4 linked regions of the Caenorhabditis elegans genome follow. The protein of the gene in region 1 interacts with the protein of each later gene in a pairwise test. Each region holds a gene or a part of one and is shown in the gene's direction. Other genes may lie near its edges.

Region 1 (5,766 bases):
ATTTGATCTGTCAATGATCAGATAAATCTTCTAAAATGATTGAAATCTGATTGAGACCTATCTTTACTTGCATCCCTTTTTCAACATTCTCAAATAAGTATCACCATTTAGTTAATCATATTTGTAGAACAAATTCGTCATTATTACCGTATTTCTAACTTTTTCTAACCAAACCATTGAGCACTTGAATTTGATGACAGCTGCACTCCGTCCCACAATAGACACCTCCCCAAATACTCTCGAGAAAAAAGTTCCAGTACCGTATACTTTTGACAACATCTGTCAAAAAATGCACTTTAGAGACGGGCATTGGAAGTATCATTTCTTTTTATAATTGTTGGTTTATTACCACAGAGAGACAATTTTAGGATATGGCTCAAGATATTTGAAGACTCGAGTAGTCCCACAGTATTGTGATTGCTGAAACTTCTGTTGTGAATATGAGTAACTTTATTCTAATAAAATATACCCCTTTCCTGTGCACACTCTTTCTCTCACTCTTACCATATTCTGAAGAATTAAAATTTCAGAGATCCCTACAAAACTCTAATAACATGCTTCAAAAATGAATGTACTCCCTACAGTCGGGTGGCGACATTTTCCCCCAAGAGAGCTGACCTCTTCTATTCATTCAATCCCCTTATTCATTCAATCCTTCCCCCATTTTCCTCTCATTTCACCCAAAAAAGACTGGTGAATGAATGGTGGGAGAAGAGATGGAGGACCCCGGGATAATAGAGGATTGTGTGCTGCAGGAGGTAGAGAGAGATGGTTGTGGGCGTGACCTCTCCCGATCATCGTCTCTGCGTCTCTTGGATGTAGACGGTCCCCGGGAGAAAGAATGTCTGCGTCTATGTACACCAATATACTGTTTATGTCCCTTGAATGGGCTTTTATACGCGTCCCTCCACTACCACCACCCTCGAAGAACCATTCCTAGCCACCCGCATAGCCGCTAAGAAGGGGGGAGTGCACTCTTTTCGTCTTTTTTTGTGTCTAAATCTGTTCCGTTTACTAGCTTTTCAAGTTCATGATCTTACTGTAATAAAACATAGCACATATTTTGAATGAAATACATAATGTATCCCATCTTCTGATTTTGAAAATTAAAATTTCTCTCCTCCCAATTTTCAATTTTGGATCTTTTACCAAATAATTTTGATCTGCATTACTTTTTCTCACTCCTACAATGTTTACGAATCCTTACCAATTTTGAATTTAAACAAGAACGCAAATGTATTGTAGGGCAGTTTTTTTTTCAATTATTGAGTTTATCAAAAAATGTATATTTGCATCCGAAATGTTACTAGCTCACGTTTAAAGCTTTCATATATATCTTATCCTACGTCTGAATTTAAACTAATTATTTAGATGGGCCTGAAACCCTTTGATCCATCACCCCTTTACTGTTATTTTATTGCTCTTTCGGGATGTCATCCATCCGATAATCATCTACAATGACATCTACATTTACAACTATTTCTTGATACCATCTCAACATCATTACCTCCCTACAAATTGTTCTCCTTCAAGTAACTTGCTCCTAATAATTTATACCGGAACTTAGTAGATCTATTGTGACGTCACAATTATTATTCTTTATTGATCTACCTTGCCTCTTTTGATCTCGTTTGCCTATTTAACCAAACGAGGAGAATCGATTATTTTCTTCTTTTTCTTATTCTCAATATTTCTTCAAATGGGGTTGTCTTGACGAAAATCTAATCAGAATATATTTACTAACCTAATTTTTTCACCTGCTGCTCCAGCCCAATTCCCTACTTATTCCCTTTCCTCTCCCCGCTTCTCCGCTGACTTTATTTCTTTGACATTACTACTATAATCGTCTTTCATATCATTTCGCAGAAATAAAGTTTTCAGAACCTCAATGGCGGATCCAAATAGCCAACTTACGTCAGCCACAACTGTTGCAACTGCCGCCATTGCTCAACCACAGGTTATGCTTCCAAATGCATATGATTATCCTTATAATATTGATCCGACAACGATTCAGATGCCTGATTATTGGAGTGGTTAGTCTTTTTTTCATTTGAAATCTATTATAATTTCAATTATATCATTTGGTAAACCAAACCAAACATGTTTTCGTGAATTTGTTAAAAGTCGCTTGTAATCAGTTAGAAATATTGGATAAATTGCAGAAAAAGGATATAAGTTTGGTATTACTTATCTCGAATTGTTGAATTGTTGATTTTATAAGCTCGCAAATTTTTAAAATTTACTTTAAGTTGAAACAAAATGTATAACTCTTTTAATGTTCTAAAATTTTGTAAAAATCTGGTTTGCTCTAGTAAGTAGTTTATTAACCAAAATGTTTATATCTCATTTCTCAAGTGCAAGTCATCTAAATAAACATTTTCAGGATACCATCTCAACCCGTATCCTCCGATGCAAACAACGGATATTGATTATTCATCAGCCTTCCTTCCAACACATCCACCAACTGAAACCCCTGCTTCCGTAGCTGCTCCAACTTCTGCAACATCTGATATTAAGCCAATTCATGCAACATCATCCACTTCAACGACGGCTCCATCTACTGCTCCAGCTCCAACTTCAACTACTGATGTGCTTGAGTTAAAGCCAACAACAGCTCCAGCCACGAATTCTGCAGAAACATCAGCGATTGTTGCTCCACAGCCTCTTACTAATCTTACCGCACCAATTGACGCAATGTCATCAATGTATACATGGCCACAAACATATCCAGGTTACCTTCCACCTTCAGAAGATAACAAAGCAAGTGAAGCTGTTAATCCATACATCTCAATCCCTCCAACATATACATTTGGTGCTGATCCATCAGTTGCCGACTTCTCATCGTATCAGCAGCAACTTGCTGGACAGCCGGTACGTTTCTATTCTTCTTGGTTTTATTCGTGTTTTACTGTTTTACCACAAGTTAATCTCGACGAATGATTGCTTGGCCCTCCTCAGCCGCCAAGCATTCACGTATGCATAATCCGCTTCCTTTTGATGTGAGCCGCCGCCTTCTGAAGATTGAGATGCATGCAAAAGGCGGCATCTTCTTGAGAAGAACACCCTGTGCGCACTAAACGACCTCCAAAAAAGTCACTAATGTAAACATAAAACAAGGAGAAACATACAGAAAAGATGGATTAGTTACATAATTAGGCAAAGTTTATCGCTTTTTTTGTTGGAGGAAATTTTTGAGATTCTTTCAGTTTTCTTTAAAATAATTTTTGCCATATGACAATACTAAACATTAAGATTCTGAACTACTGTTGTCGTGAACAAAGTTTTGAGACCCTGATGACATTTTTTTGCGTTCCAGTCTTGAGAAATCTAGAATAATATGGTAAAATCCCTGTATCCAACCTCTGACTAGTGAATAACTAAATTGGCCAAAATTTGAAGCTCTTGCTTTTTGCATTGTTACCCAATAGCCGGTCACATTTTCTGATGGTGTCCTCGAAAACCGAAGGGGGCTATTGACCGACGTCGCCGCATGATTAAGTGGTGAACAGAGACGGTCACATTGCGGGGTTCAGTACATTAAAGAGATCGATTGATTTGACTCGGCCCCCAATAGTACCATTTGAGAGAATTAACTGACTAGCAAGGCAAATGAAATTAATTCTTTGTTTTGTTTCATTGAGAGAAAAAGTTGAGTAGTTTTAGATGAGGGTTATAGAAATTATAAAACCAAAAACAATGAAATATTGCAGAATGGTCTTGGTGGAGATACCAACTTGGTTGACTACAATCATCAATTCCCACCAGCCGGTATGAGCCCACACTTTGATCCAAATGGATATCCAGGAATGACCGGAATGCCACCAGGATCAAGTGCATCATCTGTTCGAAATGATAAGTCTGCATCAAGAGCAACGAGCCGTCGTCGGGTACAAGGCCCTCCATCTTCTGGAATTCCAACTCGCCATTCATCGTCTTCAAGGCTTTCTGATAATGAATCAATGAGTGATGACAAAGATACGGATAGGAGATCACAGAATAATGCTCGAGAAAGGTGAGGAGTTTTTTACTTTTAAGACGTTTTGAATTGAACATTGGAAATTGACAATTACATAGTAATTTAATCGAGATATCTCCAAATCTAATCTAATACAAAAAACTTACAGAGTACGAGTTCGTGACATCAATTCGGCATTCAAAGAGCTCGGACGAATGTGCACACAGCACAATCAGAATACAGAACGGAATCAAACAAAATTGGGAATTCTACACAATGCAGTATCTGTGATTACACAATTGGAAGAACAGGTTAGATAATTTTTCATATTTTAAAGAAACATTCAAATTGTGAACAAAATTAATTGGCAATTGTTCGACTGCTGTATTTTTGACTTTGAAGCACATAACATTGCGATGGAATTTATTCGAAAAATTTAAACAAAACACTGAACAAGTTGAAATTTATAATTTTACAGGTTCGTCAACGAAATATGAATCCAAAAGTGATGGCTGGAATGAAAAGGAAACCTGATGATGATAAAATGAAGATGCTTGATGACAATGCACCATCCGCGCAGTTTGGACATCCACGGTTTTAAATTTAAAAATTGACTTTTTAAGCATTTCAAACTATCATTCCCAATCTTCTCCCAATCATCCATACGGCTAAAACTCTCTAGCATATTGTTTTTTTGTTCAAACTATTCAAATGTTCCCCTTCATCTCCCTCCGGATTGGAGGTCCTGTGATTTCTCAACTTCAATCAGTTTTCAGTTTTAAAAATTTTAAACTTTATTACAAGATCATCACAATTTTCTGTATGTTTTTAATTTATTTTCTCCTCTAAATTTAAATCAATCAATAGCTAATTCTAATATTTCAAGTATTAAAATTAACTTTCATATTATTCATTCATTCAATCAACTTCTTCCAACTTGTCTTATTTTTTGTGTGTGTGTATGTGATAAACCATAGCTAATTAGTATCTACTTGAAATGAAATGGTCCACTCAAAAAAAAAGACACCGCCAACTAATTTCACACATGAATTACTCTATTGGGTAACTGTTTCAACACTTTAATTATCCAAGCTCCGATGAAGTGCTAATGTCCTTCGCAGTATGGATTCCACTTTATGTTGAAAGGGATTCCCATTTATAATTAGACATTTAGTTTGACTTTCTAAGTCGTTGAAACGAGATGTTTTTTTCATGGTCTGTCAAAACTGATGTATAGGAATATTGGATGTATAAAATGTCAACAACGGGAAAAAATGTGATACAAACATAATTCATTCACCTTGATCAAAACAAACAAAATTTTAAAATTCAGAACCCTTTTTGCATCACTCAAATTAACTGGAAAATGGCTTTTCGGACAAGTTCAATTGCATTTGGATGTTTAAGAATTGCCATGTGATCAGCTTGAAATACTTCGTGTACAGTAACCTTATAACCATTATTATTTCCAATCCAATTAGTGCACACTGTAGCTGATTTTTTGTTCACTGTCCCGTCTCCATCACCCATGAATTCAGTTGGTGGATAATCTGGAAAGTATCCGGGAGCCCATGAAAACTTTTCCGGTGTGGGGACTCCTGTTCCATAAATACAATGAACTGGAACTCCTGGAGAACTTAAATTTCCATTCAGACGGGCGGCCTGTTTGTATTGTTCCCATCCAACCATGTAATTAATGTCTTGAAAGAATTCTTTAATATTTCCAACAGTGTAGTTTTTGTCAGCAGTTGTCGCTAATATTTCATGTGGTTTCCATGCAACTGGACTTGGAAACAGAAAGGCCGAAGAGG
Region 2 (3,574 bases), on another chromosome or scaffold:
GCAGGCATTTTTGGACCTGCTTGAAAATAGCATATTGTGGAGTTTCCTTCAATTTTTTTGTACCAAAGACCGTAGAATCTTCAATTTCCCCGAATTAAAGTTTCACCCACATTGAATTAAAGTTTCACCTACATCTCGATACCCACATTCCAACAGTTTTTTCTTTCAAGGTAAACTGACCGCAAAAAACTATTCTAAATCACTTTCCTTCATGGCGGCGTATCTTTTGGCGGAAACATATTGTTCGCTTATTTCTCCCGCCATACAACTTTTTTGGTGATCTCTCAGGGTGGTAAGGAAATAGAAACAGATTGATGGAATGATGAGTAAGACTTTTTCAAAAGTCTTCCTGAAATGAAGGTCAGCTTACTTTTGGAAACCTTTTTTCCAAAAAAACATTTAATTAATCAAACTTCAACCTCAACTCTATAATTCTGAACAAAAAGAGCGCCGCCAAGAGTCTTCCGACTTCATTTTTTATGTATTCTTTCTCAATTCTCTGTTTTTGAACCTTCCGCCACGGATTATGTAACTTCGCGGTCAGTGAGGCGCACACTTTGCCCATCTTTTCATGTCTATTAAGTTAGCTAAGTACCAGTCAAGGTTAGACTACTGAAAAGTTTATAACTATATACTTTATATGGTTAGACTATCACAGTGTATGTCCTTCTTTTTGAATAATCTAGGATAAATTGAAAAGAAAAGAAAGAGGAAGAAAGACTGATCAATCAACAAACCAAACAGTTTCAAGGAGTGAGTGACCCAAAAATGATCGACCTTGTCACTGGATTTTTGCAGGAGAGAATATATTTAATTTGATGGTCGTGTTTTGAATTTTTCAAGAATTGTTAGATATGGAAATCTTAAAAATGGGGGGATGATGCTAGAATCTTTAATTGTTATTTTCTTGAACTCTCACAGCTGTAAGGTAAGAGGTATGAATATATCTTAATAAATATTTTGACATTTTGACACTAATAGTGCGAATACGGTATGTGTAGAACTAAATTTACTAAAAATATTCAAACTAAAAATTATAGTTTTCAAACTTTTATATTCCTAACTGTAATTCTCGTTCGTTATGATATAATTTGGATTTTCACCAATTTCAAATATTTTTTCAACGACAACGAATTGTCTTTATCTTTCTGGAATACAAATCTAATTTCCGAATTTTGAAATGTACATCTTTGGTGGCAACTTGGCGTTTTATAGAGTTCAAAATAATCTTTAACAATTCGTTTGAGCGTTGAGCATTTATAAGTCAGGGCAATATTTCAATTGGTCCGTATTGGTGCGAAATTATTTGAAAGAGCCAGATTGGGTGAAAGTACGGTAACTACAAAAAAATCTGGAGTTACAAGAAAAATTATTTAATTGGCCACCTCACGAAAACTTCTAAAATGATAGCATGAAATGCCAATCAGAAAAACAAGATTTTTTTAAGTTTTAGAGAGGGATCTCATATGTGCTCGTACAAGCACTGGTCATACCTCCCACATTTTGGATCGGTAGAAGTTTTTGTAACTTTTAACTCTTCAAAAGTTGATTTACAGGGTCTAAATTTATAAAACTTTTTTGTTACATTTTAATTTGAGAATATGGGTCTGAGCTCAGATTTTCAGATTTTCCAGATTTGTACCTCCTCCCAATCCTTTGACCTCGAACTCTTCAACTCCTCCCTCTATAATTTGGTGCCAATACGGTTTGTGCCAATATCCACCCTCCTAGTCCCGCCCATCAGATTGTCCCGTCCCGCCTTTCCTCTCACCATTAGCCTTATTCATTCAGTTCACCCACACTCACTCCTAGCCACCACCGTCTTCCCTCTCTCTTTTTATTTTCCCGCCCAACAAAAAAAGGAAGCAATGGCCAAGAAGAATCAAGTTGCCAGAAATGAGAGAGAACGCAAGCGAGTTCATCAGGTATGTACATTTATATTGAATCAATATTTTTGAGTACTAATTTTTTTCTAACTTATTTTGTCCCTCAATGTACATTTCTTAAATAAAACATTTTCCAGGTAAACCATGGTTTCGACGTGCTCCGCAACCGTCTTCAACCAAAGAATCATACCAAGAAATGGAGCAAAGCAGACACCCTTCGTGAAGCTGTCAAGTATATTCAACAACTTCAGGTTCTTCTCAATCAAGATCCACAGCAACCATCAGGTAAGATAAGTCTTCATGTGCTAAAAGAATTTTTGAATACATATAGAGCAAAAATATAATTATTGTAGTGTAACATCATAATAAGCAAAACAAATTAAAAGCTAGCAATCATGTGTACTTCTATGTTCTAGACTGTTCTAGACTGTAATTCTGTAAAATTCGATATGCAATTTAATTAGCATTTTTGTACGAGCTGTATCTAGAATAATTAAAAGTTTGCTTTAATTTTTTCCTCACAAGTAGTATTCTTCCAATTTTCTATTTTAGTTAATTCTCAAAATTTAAAATTTGATTTTACAATTCTCAATTAATTTTTTTCAGTTTCTTCTTCAACTCCCGACTACACGATGAACAACAGCAACAACTTCAACAATTATGCCGTAAAAGAAGAATTCTCGATGTATTTGCCTCAAAACTATTGCCCACAAAATCAAATGTCAGTACCTCATGGAGATGTTTCCCATAACTTCAATTCTCCAACATCATCAGTTTCCTCATCTTCTTACTCACCAACTCAAATGTGTTATCCTCCAGTTTCATATTCCAATTATCCACACCATTAATTTGGAAAATCGATATTTTAGTATTCCCTTCTTATCATTCAAAGATCTGGTGCATTTACGGGTCTCCATACTGTTTTTGTTTTTAATATTAATTGTTAGATTTTTTTCCAAAAAACTCAATAGCCAATAAATCAATTCCTACACATTAAAACTAGCTAATTCCGTGTCAATCGCCTCGCTTTCTCGTTCTTCTATTAGCCTATTAAAATCCGAGAAACAACCTTGGCGTCTTAGGACCCCTTTCCACGAAACCCAGTGGGGAGGCACATGCCGAGCCTTATTAATAATCCCCCGGCTGGCACCATTTCTGGGTCATGAACAGAAAAATACAATAGAAGAAAATGAAGAAGACAAGAAATAAAAAAGAAGGGTTTATGATGTGGATTGAGTGGAAATAGGGAGGGAGAGAGACAGGGGCATAAATGACTGAGTGACTTGTGTTTTCATTAGATTGAGTGACACTGATGCTAATGAAAGCGACAGTCCGTTTTGAGAAACATCTGAAAATTGTCTAGATTACCTGAAAAGGTCGTACTGTATTGAAAATTTGAAAGACCTCAAGTTGAAGAGTTTTGCAGAAACTGAGCCACTTGATCACTTATCAATTGAGTTACTGAATCCTCTTTACTAAAAAATTATTGGCATACAAGACATGTATCAAATCATCCTCTACAATTTTTAGTTGTTTATTTTTTGATATCTGCAAAAAGAACAAAGTTGTGACTTGGGCTCTATGGATATAAGTAGAAGAGCAATCAAAAATGTGGTGATCTCAAAAAATACAACTGTTTGCTTCGAGTTAAGCTAATTGTAAAAGTTGCCTAATTAAAAAAACTAATA
Region 3 (3,854 bases), on another chromosome or scaffold:
ACAAATAAAAAAACCATATTGTAAAACTTTCAAGATCTCATGTATGCCTTAATTTTCATTAAAATCGTATAAATATTCACCCTTACATGAGAACTATCATAAAATATCTCTAACTTTAGTGTTTTATTCATTGTCAAAAATATTTAACCACATCATTTTGATGTATTTTCCATTTTCTCATGTTTTTGCTCTCACAAGATTAGTTGAGCAAACAAACACATCCTTGTCGAGAGGTGTTCTGAGTCTCATGAACTAATAAATCCTCCTCACCGGATAGTATTACCTGACACATTGCCAGACGGTTGCGTTTTACAACTACAAACGTAAAGTTTATGAGAGTTCCTTGAGCCTGGAGTCTTGAGCAATTGGTTCCCCCTCTCAGTTTTTGCTATAATTCAAAAGCGACTCAAACAAGTATTTGAATGTTTATTGACTGCTGTTATTCCGCCGTTTAATGATCAATACTAGCGGCAAATTTACGACCTGGTTGTAAACTTGATACACTGTTTGAAGATTTCCCAGGAGTCGAAGCGGATTTCTTTCAGTCATCCTAACGGGGCTAGATTTGAATGCAATCAACAGGTGCCGAGTAGCATATGACGGTTTATATTGCACCGTACTTGAAGTAGCGCGCGATGAGAGGGAAAAGGTTGCGCTCGTTTTGACGGCAGAGTTACGCAAAATACCGACTGACTGGAATTTGAGGCAAAAAGTTGTGCTATGGAAATTGAGTAGTGTAAACTGATAAAACCTTGCATAAATGTGATTAGTTTATATTAGATGATTTACTCGGTGTAACCGTATGTGAAATGTGAAATTGAAAGGAAAAACTGTACATATAGGTTTTTTTCCCCCAAAAAACGTTTTTGAAACATTTTTAACACTGAATATATCTACTTTTACTTCAGGATTTAGAAAATAACATAACTATGCCTAAAATTCCAAATAAACCACGTTACATTTCAAAAACTGCAAAAACTTTTTGATGTGAACGAAACCCATAAGTACCAAACATTCCATACAGGAACACCTTTCAAACCAGACTTGGATGCCTTTCTAGGTAGTTTTCATGGATTTTTCTTAGTACTGTTTTTTTTTTGAAAAGATTGCATAAGAAATACTTAGTACATATATTCCAAATTCGTGGGAAATTTTTAAGATAGAGACACCTACACAGATTGATTTCCAGTTTCATTATAAGGCGTTTTCTCTACTTAGCAAGATGTCAGAAAACAATGCTTGCTTTTATCAAATATAAATGTAGATAAGCATTTTTTGAAATAATGGAACACAATCAACAAATATTCACAACTAAATCCCTTAATTTCTGTGCATCAATAATGCCAATGTCTCTACCGTATGATATCAATTGGCTCACTCTGTAATCTAAACAAAGTGTAATTGAGTCCGGCACGGGTTTGTCGGCATCTTTTCGAAGAGGGGTGATTGCGCGAAAGCCGTGCGTCGGGATGCCCAGACAGGGCGGCAAGCGGCTAGTTTTTGATGGCGGGGGATGGTCCGGATGGGAACTCGTATACCGAGAATTCATAAACATTTGTAGACTGTATCTGAACTGTGATTTACTGTGTTGATACTAGTGGATTCTTTAGAAAAGTATCTTAAACTCAAAAAAAAACTTTCTTATAGTCATATTAACTTATGTAGCAATAGTATTTGAATAAATTTTATGACGTCAGATAATAAGTTTCAATAAACATCGCAGCACTAATTGTAAGTGAATAATCCTGTTACTTTATTTGAGAATATAAAAATTATACTTATATTTTTGCCTCAAACTCTGATGCCATGCATATTTCACGGATAACCCATATTAAAAAGTCAAATATCGGAAGTCTATTTTTTTGAACATTTTTGGATAACCATGTACATATACACATCATCAATTTTACAACCCCTTGCCATTCCAGTTTTACAGCCTGTCTTTATACAAAAAATCTCCACCTCAACATAAGTATAATGTCAACAACAAAAACATATTCCAGGCCGGATAGTAGTCTACACAGATCCTCCCACCATCGTGAACCTTTCCTGCCCGCATCTATCCTCCCTTGCGGGGTCTGTCTTCTTGCTCCGCCCACCCGTACCCATCTTGCGTACCTCATTCCTCCGATTCAAGTCAGTGATATATCGCTAGCTCATCTACAAAATGGTCAAATCAACAACTGCTGGAAACAATGCGGTTTCTTCATTAGAATCCACTGATTCCAAGAAGTCAAGAAAGGAAAAGTCTCGCGAGAAGGAGCATCGTCGTGCTCAATGTATCAACTCGGCCTTTGAGATTCTTCAGCAGTAAGTTGTTAACATTTCTTTTCCCTAAACAAATAGCTAACTTAATCTTATTTTCAGACATATTCCATACCTCAAATCGGAAGAGAGAAAGTCGCTGCCAAAGATCAAAACGCTTCGTCTTGCCATGCAGTACATTGATCATTTGAAAAAATTGCTGGGAGGAAATGAGATGGTATGTCGAATCATAATGTTTGTAACTGTAGTAATACTTTTTCGTACCATCAGTCAAAATGATCGTGTTTTGAATTATCTACTGTTTCAAATATCAAATTTCTTCAAATTCCTAACTCTTGTACGTTTTTTCAGCTCGAAACCGATTGCAACGAATCTCGCCCACTCACTCACTCAGATTTCCGTGTCAATATCTCGAATGAGATTAGAATTCGGAACAGTTACCGAGAGAGAGCCCACAATCAGGAGTTGGATGAAGCAACTGTGAAGAGAATTTTGGCTCGCGAAGATCAACGCCGTCGCTGCAGCTCAGTTCCGGAGGGAATACAAAGTAAGATCATAAAAATAGAGACATGGAAAAACAATTGAAATTTTCAGGATATACTCCTTACCAGAGCCGTCAATTCGGACCGATTTCGAACAATGTGTGCAACTTTCGCCACGTAGATGCTAACCAATACAACACCAACTTCATGGAATATCAAACACAAATGGTCCAGGTCGCCAACTTCCCAAATCAGTTCTCGCATGAGTATTACAACTATGGCACATTCCCAGTTATTGATCCAACTTCATTGGAGAACAGTAATCCAATTTTGCAATAACATTGTCTCATGTTATGTTACTCACGGTTTCCTTAATTGATCTCTATATTTCGACACGTTATTTGATTGCTCAACATAATTGTAAAGTCCGTTTCCGGCCATAAACTTTGTTATATTCAATAAATTTGTTACCTAATAAACAGTGCTCTTGAACGAACAAAAATGTTTATGTAATAAGATATTGTGATCCCTGGTGGCCTCTAATCCTACTTATATGGTGCCATGTGAGCCGTAGATGTGGAGGGGAAGGAAGTTGTGGGGAACTTGAACGGACAAAGTTATTTGATACACAAAGGTTATGTCCAGAAAGTCAAGATAATCGGTATTAAACTCTAATTTTTTATTTAAAAAAGTAGTGTTAGAAATATCAATGCACAAAGTATCATATTTTCAATAAACTTTGAAAGTAAAACTACTTCAAAGATTGCAAATTCCTCCTATAATTGAAAAATCATGCGTAGAAAATTACACAGAACAAAAACTGTGGGCCCAAGTTAAAATATTTCCTCTGGATCGCTAGACGCTAAAATTTTGCGAACTGTGTCACAACGGACGAAGTGTCACAACGGACGAACCTTTTTTTACTGAGTGGAATGTGTGGTTATGTTTCTTTTATAGACTAAAACTAGCCCAAAACGATTGAATTTCTTGGTTAGACTTCGCAAAAAAATTCAAAAACTGTTGTATGACGGATAAAAATTTCAAAACAAAACATCAAGTTTTGCTTAAATCTGAAATTTCGTCAAGTTTTATTTGTCGCGAAAATGA
Region 4 (2,688 bases), on another chromosome or scaffold:
TCATCGGATGAAAGTGATGGCATTTCGATTCAAAACATTGGAGGTGTATTCATCGTTATTCTAGCCGGCATTGCACTTTCCATAGTCACTTTGGCATTTGAATACTATTATTATAAGTATGTTTGGAATACTTTTTTCAGATAGAATCTTGGCATTTAAAGTAAGGTTCTTCTCCCGAAGTTGGTAAAATTTTGGGCAAGACTGGGCTCAGGCTGTGTTCAAGTATAATTTTGCCCCGAACTTTTTTTATGTCGTTGACTTAGCTCAACTTGAGCTAAACGTGGGCACAGCCTGAATCAAGTCTGACCATGTCTTTGCCAAGTGTCTATCAAAGTTAGGTACATGCGTAGCATACCTGGCACAAAAATGTTAGCCTTGTTAAAAATTTTACGTGACCATTTTTGACAACGTTAGGCTTACTTTAGGAATTTCTCTAGGCCTAAAAATGCAAATCAATTTCACTTTTCAAGTAAATTATCAATTCAAAAGAAATGAACTGAAAACTTGTTAGTTTGGGCCATTTAACTACACAAGTACCCTTCATTAATTTGAGCGAGAAGATTGCTCTAAATGCCAAGCTATCATTAATTTAAAAATCCACTGTTCAGAAGGAAAGCAAGAAAAGCCGCTGAAAAAGAGCAAGAAGAACTTGAAATGAAACAATCCCAACAAGTCGTTCCAAATGGTTTTCATACAAATGGTGTTAAGCAAGATGCTCCTAAACTTACAAATGGCACAAAAACCAATGGAAACACCTTTCGACGGACGAAACGATCAAATTCTGTTTCAGCTTATGAGAACACAGCCTTCCAATACTAGCAGCTATTCTTTTGATTGATATTTTTTATTTACAATTCGTTGACCGATATTTACATTCCCAGTGTGATTCCAACGGGATTTCTTGCACTAAAAAAGTATTTGAAGCATTATACTTATTCTGATTTTAAGTTTTTAAATGTGAAGTAGCGCCAGTGGGGACAGTGTTTAAAACTACTTCTATGGTGCAAAACTAGCCAAATATCATAGTACAATTTTTAAAAAACTTGGAAAGTTTTAATTTACTGACAAAAAGTAACAATTATCCAGTTTGCCACTTGTAATTTAAAAAATAAAAATAAAACTTTTTTGGACGATGTTTATACTTTTATTTTGTTCTAATCGTTTGTGTTAAAACATTCTAAAGGATTAAAAGCTCTTTTTTTTTAATTTGGCAATTTGCCAAACCTTTTACAGGCAATTTTAAAAAAATATAAAAGTTCAGAAAAAAACCCACTGGCGCTAAACCACAACTAAAATTCCGAAATCTTTATTTTCTTCCAGTGTCCTTTTATTACGAGTATCTTTTCTGTATGTGCAATAAAGTCCAATTACAATGTCTTACTAATAAAACACTTGAAAAAGGTAATCCTTTAGTGGCGGCCAGCGTGCAAAAGGGACACATATGGGCGTGGACCAACTCAATTAGTGTTATGAGCAATAAAATGGGCTCATCGCGCGCCGCCTCTGTTTTGTTTCGGGATATGCAGATACTCGGTAAATCTGTTACTCGTTTTCCTATCCTCTATTCCAGCAAGTGTTCCACTATTCAAAGACAATGCTCATGGAAGATGGAGGATTGGACACCACGTCTGAAGAATACCGAAAACTTTCAAAAGCCGAACGAAGGAAGAGGAGACGTGCAACTCCAAAATATCGAAATCTTCATGCGACCCGAGAAAGGTAGGTTCAAATTCTAAAACTTGGTAACTTTCAAAATAGTTTGTTTTCAGAATTCGTGTAGAATCATTCAATATGGCATTTTCCCAACTGCGAGCTCTCCTGCCAACTCTTCCCGTTGAAAAGAAACTTTCAAAAATTGAAATTCTACGATTCTCAATTGCTTACATAAGTTTTCTAGACAACTTGCTTCAATAAATATATTGGCATTAAACATTTATTTTTGACACACTGAAATTTAAACAAATGTATAGTCAAAAAAAAACATGCAAATAAATTATGCTTATACAGATCAGTTGTGATTTGAATTCACAACCTTCACAGTGGCCAACCGATATATATATATATATAGTTCCAGATCAGACTAGAATTTGGAATAGAAGCACCTCCACCTTGTTTTTATGTTTGACTTTTTCTTTTTCATGATCATGTTCATCTGATCAGAAGTTCATCTTTAGCCGCTGTTGAGTAGCAAAGTTCAGCAATCGTTCTCAGGTTTGTAGTTGTTGGGCCAGGTAGAATCTATAAACCGAAGTTTGATTTTTCACAGACATATACAGTGCACCCAATTGCTATGGGACACTCCTCCATTTTAATGATTCACAAAATGTAGAGAAAAATTGTTTCTTGTGCGTGATTTTTGTTTTTTTATTAATAAACTTAATTAATAAGTTTTGAAAAAAAAAAGATAATTTATGACAATTATCTCTTCTTCCAATTTTTGAGATATCAGTTTTTTAAAGATGTTTTCCTATTCTATTTGGACATTTTAGCACTATAAACAATTTGCCCTTGGCTTTATTCCCAAGTTCAAACCGTCACAAAAATATTTGAAAATATGCTGAAATATGCTGAAAAATATTTGGAACATTTGAAATTAAAATATTACTGTAATCAGCATTTCACAAATTTAGACTTGGCATATTTTTTGACTGGAAAATTATATTTTTCAAGAATTACAGAAATACCCAG

What was found.
Region 2: the proteins of hlh-2 (region 1) and hlh-14 interact in a two-hybrid assay, tested with the Caenorhabditis elegans proteins (2 studies listed by BioGRID).
Region 3: the proteins of hlh-2 (region 1) and hnd-1 interact in a two-hybrid assay, tested with the Caenorhabditis elegans proteins (2 studies listed by BioGRID).
Region 4: the proteins of hlh-2 (region 1) and hlh-15 interact in a two-hybrid assay, tested with the Caenorhabditis elegans proteins (2 studies listed by BioGRID).

What each region holds. Positions count from the first base shown.
Region 1 is NC_003279.8:7,190,030-7,195,795, reverse strand, and holds hlh-2 (Helix-loop-helix protein hlh-2), read left to right. Parts: upstream 1-1,875; 5' UTR 1,876-1,888; coding exon 1,889-2,033; intron 2,034-2,383; coding exon 2,384-2,871; intron 2,872-3,710; coding exon 3,711-4,012; intron 4,013-4,124; coding exon 4,125-4,266; intron 4,267-4,433; coding exon 4,434-4,556; 3' UTR 4,557-5,008; downstream 5,009-5,766. Other genes in the region: plag-15 (PhosphoLipase A2 Group), read right to left, coding at 5,306-5,766. UniProt on the Caenorhabditis elegans protein: Transcription factor which binds the E box motif 5'-CA[TC][AG]TG-3'. Plays a key role in the anchor cell/ventral uterine precursor cell (AC/VU) decision; required for VU fate.
Region 2 is NC_003280.10:5,737,096-5,740,669, reverse strand, and holds hlh-14 (Helix-loop-helix protein 14), read left to right. Parts: upstream 1-1,774; 5' UTR 1,775-1,868; coding exon 1,869-1,925; intron 1,926-2,023; coding exon 2,024-2,171; intron 2,172-2,492; coding exon 2,493-2,734; 3' UTR 2,735-2,885; downstream 2,886-3,574. UniProt on the Caenorhabditis elegans protein: Probable transcription factor, involved in determining neuroblast cell fate, morphogenesis and aspects of terminal differentiation in both left/right symmetric and asymmetric neuronal lineages.
Region 3 is NC_003284.9:11,682,560-11,686,413, forward strand, and holds hnd-1 (Hand transcription factor 1), read left to right. Parts: upstream 1-2,001; 5' UTR 2,002-2,167; coding exon 2,168-2,310; intron 2,311-2,367; coding exon 2,368-2,482; intron 2,483-2,616; coding exon 2,617-2,812; intron 2,813-2,859; coding exon 2,860-3,086; 3' UTR 3,087-3,229; downstream 3,230-3,854. UniProt on the Caenorhabditis elegans protein: Probable transcription factor which regulates early embryonic myogenesis, in cooperation with transcription factors unc-120 and hlh-1.
Region 4 is NC_003284.9:2,412,195-2,414,882, reverse strand, and holds hlh-15 (Helix-loop-helix protein 15), read left to right. Parts: upstream 1-1,505; 5' UTR 1,506-1,594; coding exon 1,595-1,719; intron 1,720-1,769; coding exon 1,770-1,914; 3' UTR 1,915-1,930; downstream 1,931-2,688. Other genes in the region: glr-7 (GLutamate Receptor family (AMPA)), read left to right, coding at 1-116, 609-819; trpp-12 (TRansport Protein Particle), read right to left, coding at 2,149-2,238. UniProt on the Caenorhabditis elegans protein: Transcription factor which binds the E box motif 5'-CA[TC][AG]TG-3'. Involved in modulating physiological aging, probably by regulating expression of branched-chain amino acid transferase-1, bcat-1.